Linked DNA regions of Oryctolagus cuniculus. The protein of the gene in region 1 purifies or fractionates together with the protein of each later gene. This does not show direct contact. Links are inferred from orthologs where the notes say so. Each region holds a gene or a part of one and is shown on either strand. Other genes may lie near its edges.

Region 1 (5,670 bases):
AGCTCCCGCAGCCACTCTGGGCCTTGAGGCACCTCTGGGATGCAGGTCGGGATGGAAGGGATATTTAAGATATATGCAATATATCCACACTGGCTGGGTTCCTGGAGACGCCAGGCAGTAAAGACCTCTATGCTGTTGCCAAACTGTCTCAGAGTATTTATGTATTTAATTTGAAAAGCAGGCAGACTCCTCCCACCCCCTGGATGCCTGCGACAGCCGGAGCTGGGCCACACGGAAGCCAGGAGCTGGGAACCCGACCCGAGTCTCCCACATGAGTGGCAGGGACCCAGCTACTTGGAACATCCCACGGCTGCGTCCCGGGGTTCACATCGGCAGGAAGCTGGAATGGGGGGGGCAGAACTTGAACCCAGGTTTTCACCATTTCCAGTTAGATTTCTCTGTCCCCAGCAGCCAAGAGGCTGAGCTGGGCTCGAAGACCAGGACTCAGCCACCAGGGGCCTCCAGAGAGAAGGGGGCGGGAACGCTCCTCCCGGCACCCGCACAGCACCCGGCGTGGGGCGGGTGGGCTTGGGCCGTCCGCTGACGGAGCTGCCCGCTCCCCACCCCCACCAAAGGGACCCCTGCGCCCCTGAGACCTAGACCCCCCTCTGAGAGCACGTGGGAAGCCCCCTCCCAGGCCGGGCAGGCGGGGAGGACTCCCACGGGTGACACGTGGCGCCCGCAGCCAGGCCCCCGCTCCCGTGTCACAGAGGCCCGGCCTTGGATGCGACCGCCGCCACCTGGCGGGGGTGGGGGACCTCGGAAAACGCCTTCCCCTCTCTGAACCTCAGCTTCCCGGTTTCCAAGGAGACGGCGCAGAAGCCTTGGCGCAGGCACGCTGGCTTCCTCTGGGACAAGTTTCCAAAGCAAAGGGGACTGGGCCAGGCTCAGCGCACCCCTCCAGCGCCCCCCCCCCCGCCTCACCTGGAAGAAGGCGTGGCTCTTGACGTCCTGGGCCCCCTGGGGCCCCGCGCCCAGCCGCTTCCGGGGGTCCTTGCAGAGCAGCCTCTGCAGCAGGTCCTGTGCCACGGGCCCGATCCGGGGGGGGAAGGGAGGGGAGCACTTCAGGATCCGTCTGGGAGGATGGGGGTGCTGTCAGGGGCAGCGGGGGGCCCCCCTCCACGGCCCCGCCCAGGCAGGCCCTGCTGCCCCTCGGCCGCCCTCCGCGTCCGGCCCTCCTCACCGGGACACCTCGGCCTGCGTGTTCCTCTCGCCCTCCAGGGTGAAGGGCGAGGCCCCCGTGAGCAGCTCGAAGAGCAGGATGCCCAAGCTCCACCAGTCCACAGCCTGCGGGCCGGAGCGGTCAGGGCCCCGCGCGCGCGCCCCCGGCCCCGCGCCGCCCCGGCCCCGCGCCGCCCGCGCAGGCCCACCTTGCCGTGGCCCGCCTTGCCGCGGATGATCTCGGGGGCCATGTACTCGATGGTGCCGCAGAAGGAGAAGGTCCGCTCTTTCTGCGAGGGCGAGAGGACCCGCGTGGGCGCCGGGCTCGCTCCTCGCGCCCCCCCGCCCCCCCCCCGGGAGCGGCGGGCGGGCGGGGCGGGGGCGCGCACCTCCTCCGTGAGGAACTCCTTGCTCAGCCCGAAGTCCGTGAGCACCACGTGGCCGTCGGCGTCCAGCAGTACGTTCTCCAGCTTCAGGTCCCGGTAGATGATACCCAGCTGGCGGGGCCAAGACGGGCGCTGAGGCTTCCCCCAGCCCCCGAGCTCGGGACAAGCGGGGCCCGCCTCCTGCGCCCCCGGCGCCTCCTGCCTGCCGAGGGGGCCCCAGCGCGGGGCTGGGCCGCTGGCTGCCAAAGGCCAGTTAAGGCGCGCAGGCCCGGGTTCCAGGGAGAGGGGCCCGTGTGTGTGGAGAGGCGAGGGAGCCACAGCACAGGCCTGCGTTTGAGGAAGTTCCGGGGAGGTGGCCCCGGGTTCCCTGTGAGAGGAAAGCCCCTTCGAGGAGGCGCGCGTGGGGGGACGACACCCCAGCAGGCAGTACCAGGGGGCCTGGGGCGGGAGGGGGAAGCAGCTGCCCACCCGGCCCAGGCAGCCCGGAGAGACCGAGGCTGCTACTCGGGAGCCGCTTCGCCAGGCCCAGGGGCCAATGCCCGCCCACCTTGTGCAGGTGCTCCAGGGCCAGCACGATCTCGCCGCCGTACACGCGCACCTCGGCCTCCTTGAAGCACTGGCGCTGGTAGAGGTGGGTGAACATCTCGCCGCCGCTCACGTAGTCTGGGGCGACAGCGGTGGAGGTGAGGACGCGGCCGCCCCTGCCCCCCGCCCCGCCCCGCCCCCGCGCCGGCCCGCGCCGGTCCTCACCCAGGATGAGGTGCAGCTTGGCGTCGGTCTGGAAGGCGTAGTGCAGCGTGACCAGGAAGGGCGCCTGGCGCACCAGCTCCAGCACCGAGCGCTCCGTGCGCGTGTGCTCCTGCGTCTTGGCACGCTGCACCAGCGCCGCCTTTCGCAGCACCTTCATGGCGTACAGCTTCCCCGCGTCGTGCCCGCCTGCCTTCCGGACCAGGAACACCTTCCCGTAGGCTGCGAGAGACGAGGGCGAGGAAGAGGGGCTGTGAGTGGGAAGGCGGACGGGCGCAACCCAGGGTGGCGTGCAAACCTGGGGTGGTGTTGGGGAGGTGTGTGGGGGGAGCCAGGGGGAGAGGCAGGCGTGCAAAGAGCTGGAGGAGCAGGTGTGCACAGCCCAGGGGCGGCTCAGCAGGGGCCGTGAAGGGATGTGCAGCCCGGGGAGGGAGGAGTGGGGGCGGGGCGTGTGCCAACCTGCGAGAAAGCATTTGGGAAGGATGCGGGGAGGAGGCCCGGCTGCACGCCTGGCCAAGGGAGGGATGTGCAAAGCAGGCCTGGGGGAGTCTGCAAACGCGCAAGGGGGCTGTCACGTGGGGAGAAGGGGGGGCGCTGTGCAAGCCACTTGGGTGGGGTGCAAGCCCCCAGGACCTCCGAGCAGCCGCGGGAGGGGGCATGCATGCCCAGGACCCCACAGGAAGCGACGATGCCAACATGGAGCGCCCGGGAAGTGGGCACCCGACCCCGGGATGGCCGGTTGGAGCCGGGAAAGGGTGGGGGCCTTCCCAGAAGCCTGGCCCCAGAGCAGGCGGGTGTGCGGGCAGCAGGCCCCGGGACGCCGTGCCGGGACACCTGCCCGGTGCCCAGGGGCACTCACCTCCCGTGCCCAGCACCTTCAGCAGCTCGAAGTTCTCCACGCTCACCTTCTCCTCGTGCCCGGTCAGGTTGGCTGTGGGCACAGGGGCCGATGAGCCCAGCCCGCCCGAGACTCCTCCCAGCCCTCCCGCGCAGCCGGCGGCCGGCCCTGCACCCACCTTCCGTGATCCGCAGCTCCACGGCGCAGCCCTCGTCCTCGTCCCCCATGTCGGGCGGGGGACGAGTCGCTGGGGCCCCCCCGTGCGGCTCGGGGCTCCGGGCGGCGCCGGTTACATGGCGGCTCCGGCCGGGGCGGGCGCTTCCTGGTGCCGCCTCCGGGGCTGAGGCGGGCGCCGGCGCCGCCTCCCGGCTCCCCGCCTTGCCGCGGCCTGAGTCAGGCGGCTGGAACGTGACAGCGGCAGGCGGCGGCCAGAAAGGGTTGGCCCTGTCTCCCGAGCGGGGTGGCGGCGGGGGGCTGCGGGGATGGGCGTCAGAGCTCTGCACTCTGGGACCTCAATCAACCCTCCCAGGGACCTGGACACAGCCGGGAGTCCTGGCGGGGGCCCGTGGGTGACCTGGAGGCCCTGCTGGGTGAGCACAAGCCAGGTATGCGCCCCAGGACACCTGCTGCTGCCAGTGGTGGCAAGGACCTTGGGAGCCCGTGCCCCCGCGCCAGCCTTGCGGACAGCCGAGCATCCTCCTGGGACTTTCTGGAGCCCCTGCCAATCACACCACCCCGTCCCCTTCTTGTCCACAGCAAACAGGAGAGCGGAGTGGTGTGTCCGCTCGACAAATGAGCAGCCCAAGGCCGGCTGACAGCGGCCAGCGCCCGCCGCCGGCTCCTCAGCCCCACGCCTCACACTCAGCGGCCCCAGCTCTCCGTGCTGGCCAGGCTAGGAGGGTGCGGGATTCAGGCCGCACTGGCCAGGCTAGGAGGGTGCGGGATTCAGGCCGCGCTGGCCAGGCTAGGAGGGTGCTGGGATTCAGGCCTGCTTTGTGATCCTGGACCAGCTACATCTCCCCTGGGTTCCCGATCCAGCCTCTCTCCCCGCAGTGGCCTGGGCTCTGCAGGGAAGCTGGGGGCTCGGCCGCTCTGAGGCCAGGACCTGCTACGGCAAGGGGCCAGTACCAAGCCGGGACCCTGCGGCGGGGAGGGGCAGCCCCCGCCCCCATTCACAGCCCACCAGAGGCCATGCACACCTCCTTGTCTTGCAGTACCCACCCCAGATCCCCAAAAAGGGGCATCAGCGTGGTTCAGGGGAGTCCCCCTCCCCTGAGGCCCAGGGCCCTTGGCTGGCCTGTCCTCCAGGGGGGTGGGGGGTGAGAGGGGGCGGCAGCCGCCAGAGGCCCGGGGGCAGTTTTAGCTCCTCTGACAGCTGGGGGCAGGGGTGCACCGCCCCACACTGCCCTGCAAAGCCTCTGCGGAGAGGAAGAGGAAGCGGGGCTGCTGCAGGTCGCCCCGGGAAGGCTGGGCTGGCTGCCGCCCCGGGGCTCCGCACACCTCCAAGCTCAGGCCACCTCCTGTCGGCTCGGGCAGCCCCACCCTGCCCTGGGCGGCCCCAGGTACCCTGACTCACTTCCTGCTGCCCCACCTAATTGCCCCCCTTCCCAGGGCGGTAACCCCGGGGCCCTGCTCAGAGACTCCACCCACCCACCAGGCTACGAGCTCCCCGGGGCAGGGCTTGGCCCCACAGGGCTCTGGGAGAGAGGACGAGGAGGCTGGACAAAGGCAGGGAAGGGAGAGAAGCGGGTGTGAGGGTCGTGGTGGCCGCACCCGCTGTCCCCAGCTTGCCACCCCACTCCCCGCCCCTGGAGGCGCCCTCTGCAGCTGTGTCCTGGCCGGGCCAGGCCGCTGTGTCCCACTGTGTCCCCGGCACCTCGAGGCTCCAAGATGCAGCCAACAGACACGAGGCAGGACTCAGCTTTATTCTTATGCCCCACTGCGTCCCAGGGAAGGCTCAGAGGTCGGCCCAGGACACGGTCCCCAGGGAGTGGTGGGCCTTGGTGCCCCGCCCGGCCCGGGCAGGGGGCTCTCCTGCCCACTCCTTCCAGTCCCCTCGTGCTGAGGGATCCTCCGGAGACTGCCACCTCAGTGCAGGCCGCGAGCCATCCCCCCTGTCCACAGGCTCACCCCAGCTCCGTCCCGGGACCCCTACGCGGGCCGTGGCGGGCTGGAGAGCCCAGGCCTCCTTGTCCAAGTGCTCTCCTCGCGCGCCCCGTGTGGACGGGCTCCCCTGGCTCTTGGACTGCCTGGGGTCCCCCGCGACACTCCAGTGGCCAGCGGGCGGCCCTGCCGAGCTCCGGGGCCCCGCGGCGTCACTGGCTGAGGGAAGGGGTGAGGGGGCGCTTCTCCGGGTCCTGCTCCTCGAGGCCTGCAAGGCGAGACTCCGCTCAGGAGGGCCCCGGGGTCACAGCTGCCACCCTCCGCCCCCACCTCCTCCACTGGGGCCCCAGCCGCCACCCTCCGCCCCCACCTCCTCCACTCCGGGGCCACAGCCGCCACCCTCCGCCCCCACCTCCTCCACTCCGGGGCCACAGC
Region 2 (4,073 bases), on another chromosome or scaffold:
GATTCTGAGTCTTTCCTTTGACACATGGTGACTCTGTCTGCTCCCCACCTGGGCACAAACTGGTTGGCGGGTCGCTTGGGCCGGTACTCGGGATGCACCATGAAGAGCATGTGAGGGAAACCAGTGCCGAAGTAGGCACCATCCGTGTGATGGTGCCTCGATGACTTGGGTGTGTACACGTCCATGCACTTGGGGCAGTAGAGCTTCACCATGGCCTCACCTGGGATGTCCGACAGGCCTGGGAGACAGCCAGACTCAGCAGGCCAGGCACCCGCGACACTGCCGAGTCCCCTGCCCCAGAACTCAGCTCCCGCCTTGCTGAGCCCAACTCCTTCCCAGAGGACTGCCAGATGGTGCCCCCTCTCCCTTCTTCAATACTCACCGATAGGAAGCATTGGCTGGTTCTCACAGTATACACGGGGACAGTAGCCAAAGTCTCCCTGCTGGTACTTTTCCAACTGAAGGGAAAAAAATGGAAGGGATTGGTGGGTGGGTATGAGGATAAGCAGCGACCCCCACATAACTCTGTCCTCCACATTTCCTCCCTCTTCTTGGAGGTCCTTGTGCAGATCAAAGGGGCCCACCAACTTTCCCCCCAGTTAGGGAGGCTAATGACATCCAGGGCCATTTGCCGTCTGTTCTCTGAGGAAGAAGCAGTCCACAACTCTGACCAAGCTCACATCGCCCTCCCTGAAGACACCCCCTCAGCAGGACGTCCAGGGAGGACTCAGTTTCCCGGCCCAAACTCTGGGTTTTTCTCATCTCAGCTCGACTCCTTGACAGGGCTGCCAGATTACTGCTCACTGTAGGAACCTGTTTCCCTTACTGCCTCACAAGGAGTCACGCAGGCGCAGAGAGGCCTCACCATCTGGGCGATGCCTCGGTTGGTGAGGATGTAGCGGGCATGGATCAATCCGTAAAGCATCTCGGCCGCCTGCTCAATCAGGTCGCTCTGGTTGGGGTTGTCTTCCAGCTCTTCGTCTGAAATATGGGCCAGCCACATGCAACCACTGGCGTTCCAGCTTTCCCAGGTGCCCCGCCCACCCCCAGGGCTGTTGGCTGCCCAGTTTGCCCAGCACCCATCCTTGAGCTTCACCCAGTCCTCACGTGGGCATTTAACCTGGGTCTCTGCCCCTTCCACCAACCCAAGGAAGCCCAGCCTTCTCTCCACACCTCTTCAGCCTCTGCTCTCTTCTCTCCCTCCCAACTCCTTCCTTAGTACGTAAATACAAAGATGTCAACACAGAAGGTGGAACTCTAGACTGGAGGGTGCAAGGCAGGCAAAGAGGCAGTAAACAAGACCCGCGAGGAAACTCGCATAAGGAGGAGCGCTGAGCTACAAATTCAGAAAGTATGGCAGCAAGTGCTATCAGTCACAAAACTAGGCAAGAATTCAAGGAGGGGGGCAAAAATGCTGCTGGGACTTTGAGGTTAAGGGTGTCAGAGAACCAAAAGGAAGTTTAGAAATTCAAGAGGTAAATTCAAGAGGTAATTTGAAGAGAAAAACAGCCCCCCCACCATGAACCTTGAGGGTGTCTCACCAGGTTCCAGGTCCAAGATCATGTCTAGAGCTTGTCGATAGTGAGGCACCTGCTCATTGAGGCCGGTAAGGTTAAATTTGTCCTGGATGTAGTCTTCATCCACCTGGTAGAACACGGAGGTCAAGAGGAAAACTCCTACTGGGACCCCCAGCTTCTGAGCTGGCCAAGGTCACCTAACGAACGCCTTGTCGGCCACACGGCTGCGTCTGGTCTGCCTGTTTCCTACTCCAACTCAGCGTCAGTACTTCAGCCGCTGTCCCGAGTTCACACGCACGCCCTCCCCCCCGTGAAAGCTCCAGCTTCTCTCCTCCAAGGACAAGCAAGCACAGCAGTCTCCTTAGAGACACACTCGACTCCCGCGTCTCTAGTCCTGTTCCTCATCTCTAGGAACCAGTTCTGTCCTCTCCTGAGGGAACAGCTGCTCTCTGAGGAAGGTGGAGGCTGAACAGCTTGGTTTCTGAAGGTGGTTAGAATTCCTTATGTCAACACAGAGCTTTGCATGTTACAGAACATTTTAAGGTGCAGTATTCCAATTCTCCTAACAGCCCCCAGAGATAAGCACTACCAGTAGCATTCTAGTAATGAAAAAGCAAAGGAGAAAGGACACTTGGCACGGTGGTTCCTACATGGTTAGAGATAACCCACATCCCAAACTGGAATGCTCAGGTTCAAGTCCCAACTCCACTTCCAATTCCAGCTTCTTGCTAACACACACCCTGGAAGGTAGCAGGGTGATGGCACAAGTACTTGAGTCCCTGCCACCCACATGGGAAACCCAGGTAAGTTTTGGGATCTTTACTTCAGCCTGGCTGGTAGCAGTAGCTGTTGTAGAAATTTGGGACATAAACCAGTAGACAGAAGATCCTTCACTTTCTCTGTTGCTCTACCTTCAGATACTTTAAGTACAATAAAAAAATTAAAAAAGAAAAAGAAAAAAAAAAGATGGTCTGACTAGTTCAATGTTATCCTCCTGGGGGTGCGGTGGGGTGTGTGACAGAAATGGGACTTGGGCCCCAGTCTTGCCACATCGCCGCTGATTAGTGGGGGGTTACTGAGGGGACCCCTTCTTTCACGGGAAGGAGTTTCCACGGGATAAAGTGTGCAAAAGCTGAAGATACCCAACCTGAACGCATGGAACCAGCGAGTAGGAAGAACGAAAAGCACTCACTTCACAGAAGAATTCATTGCCACGGAGCCCACAAAACCAGGAAATCCAGGACACTTCCTCCGAGCTGCTCATCTTCACGTCAGCTGGAAACAGGAGTCAAGTCCAAGCTCTCCCTCCCCGGCTCTGGCACCTTCCCTCCTCCCACACTCTGTCTTTCAGCCATGGAAGAATTTGGGGCCACCCTTTTTTTTTTTTTTTTTTTTAAAGGATCCCAGCCTTTGGGACAGGCTTCTCTAGCTCTTGTTATTTACACCTCGGCCCCTTTTCTCTGAATGAACTTAGAAATTCCTTGGCAGGAGCCCACAAGTACCGACCCAGCAGTCCCTACCTACATCCCCCGCGCCCCCGATGGCCAGACCCCTCTCGCCTGTGTCAACTCTGGCAGAGTCCTCGGCTCGGGCTCCCTACCACCGCAGGGCTCCGGCACCCTTCCCCAAGAATTAGAAGTTTATCTTTGCCAAGCAACGACCGACACCTCCTTTTCTCACGACCCGGGGCGAGGGGCGGGCACCGCCAGGTACTCTTTCACGGAGTCCCCACAGCCTGCCTCCCGCTCTCCGGCCACCCTTCCCTCCCACGGTTACGGACCGGGTCACTTCCTTCCTCGCCCCCACCTCAAGGCGGGGAGACCCCATGTGCCGCTCCTAGGGACCGGGAACTCCGCGGGGCAACCACTTCACACTCACCAGCTGGACGGGGAGCGGGACCGGGGTGGGGGAGGGGAACAGCTGCTTCCAAAGAACGACGGCGACCGCTACAGCGAAGGCCGCGGACCCGACCGCGGCAGGCGAAGTCGGGTGGGGGGAGTGGAAATCGGGGAGGGTGGGGAAGAGGGCAACGCGCAAGCGCCGAGGGGCGAGAGCCGCGGTGGACGCTGGGAGATGGAGTCCGCTAGGGCGAGAGACCGGCGAAGCGAGGGAAAAGCGAACTACGAATCCCAGGACAGCTCACTCACGACCCTCGTGTCGCGAGGCCCCCGAGGACGCGGCTCGGGGGCGGGGCACAGCGAGGCGCCACCGGAAGCGGAAGCCAAGTAAGGCGTTCGGGGCCAGGAGCCTGGGAAATAGAGTCGTATGCTCACTGGACTGAGGGGCCAAGAGGGGGCGGGGGAAGAAGCGAGGCGAGTCGGGTCGCAGACGTTGCCCTCGGGGACCCTCAGTGAGCCCTGGCCAACCCTCCTAGTTCTTATCAAGTCGGGCACGGCCTTGCACAGGAGAGCCCCACGTTTTACCCTGAGCTCGGGCCTTCTGAGGTGGGAGGTACGAACGGGCTCCGTGCTGAGGGACCTGGGTCGGGTGTGTCTGTCCTGAGTTGAGCGTTATTGACAACCAGGACGGCCCGGTGCGCTAACCTGAGGCGGCGCC

Evidence for each region. The genes of interacting proteins can lie anywhere in the genome.
Region 2: the proteins of RPS6KA4 (region 1) and CSNK2B purify together in Homo sapiens (affinity purification with mass spectrometry; 3 studies listed by BioGRID and IntAct, with this or other methods). This does not show direct contact. The link is inferred for Oryctolagus cuniculus from reciprocal best matches to the Homo sapiens genes RPS6KA4 and CSNK2B.

What each region holds. Positions count from the first base shown.
Region 1 is NC_091432.1:6,979,472-6,985,141, forward strand, and holds the start of RPS6KA4 (ribosomal protein S6 kinase alpha-4), read right to left. Parts: upstream 3,451-5,670; 5' UTR 3,360-3,450; coding exon 3,311-3,359; intron 3,226-3,310; coding exon 3,154-3,225; intron 2,517-3,153; coding exon 2,298-2,516; intron 2,211-2,297; coding exon 2,095-2,210; intron 1,659-2,094; coding exon 1,551-1,658; intron 1,452-1,550; coding exon 1,371-1,451; intron 1,288-1,370; coding exon 1,184-1,287; intron 1,076-1,183; coding exon 925-1,075; intron 1-924. Other genes in the region: CCDC88B (coiled-coil domain-containing protein 88B), read right to left, coding at 5,090-5,503. UniProt on the Homo sapiens protein: Serine/threonine-protein kinase that is required for the mitogen or stress-induced phosphorylation of the transcription factors CREB1 and ATF1 and for the regulation of the transcription factor RELA, and that contributes to gene activation by histone phosphorylation and functions in the regulation of inflammatory genes.
Region 2 is NC_091436.1:138,947,093-138,951,165, forward strand, and holds the start of CSNK2B (casein kinase II subunit beta), read right to left. Parts: upstream 2,801-4,073; 5' UTR 2,782-2,800; coding exon 2,710-2,781; intron 1,645-2,709; coding exon 1,542-1,644; intron 982-1,541; coding exon 866-981; intron 459-865; coding exon 383-458; intron 239-382; coding exon 49-238; intron 1-48. UniProt on the Homo sapiens protein: Regulatory subunit of casein kinase II/CK2.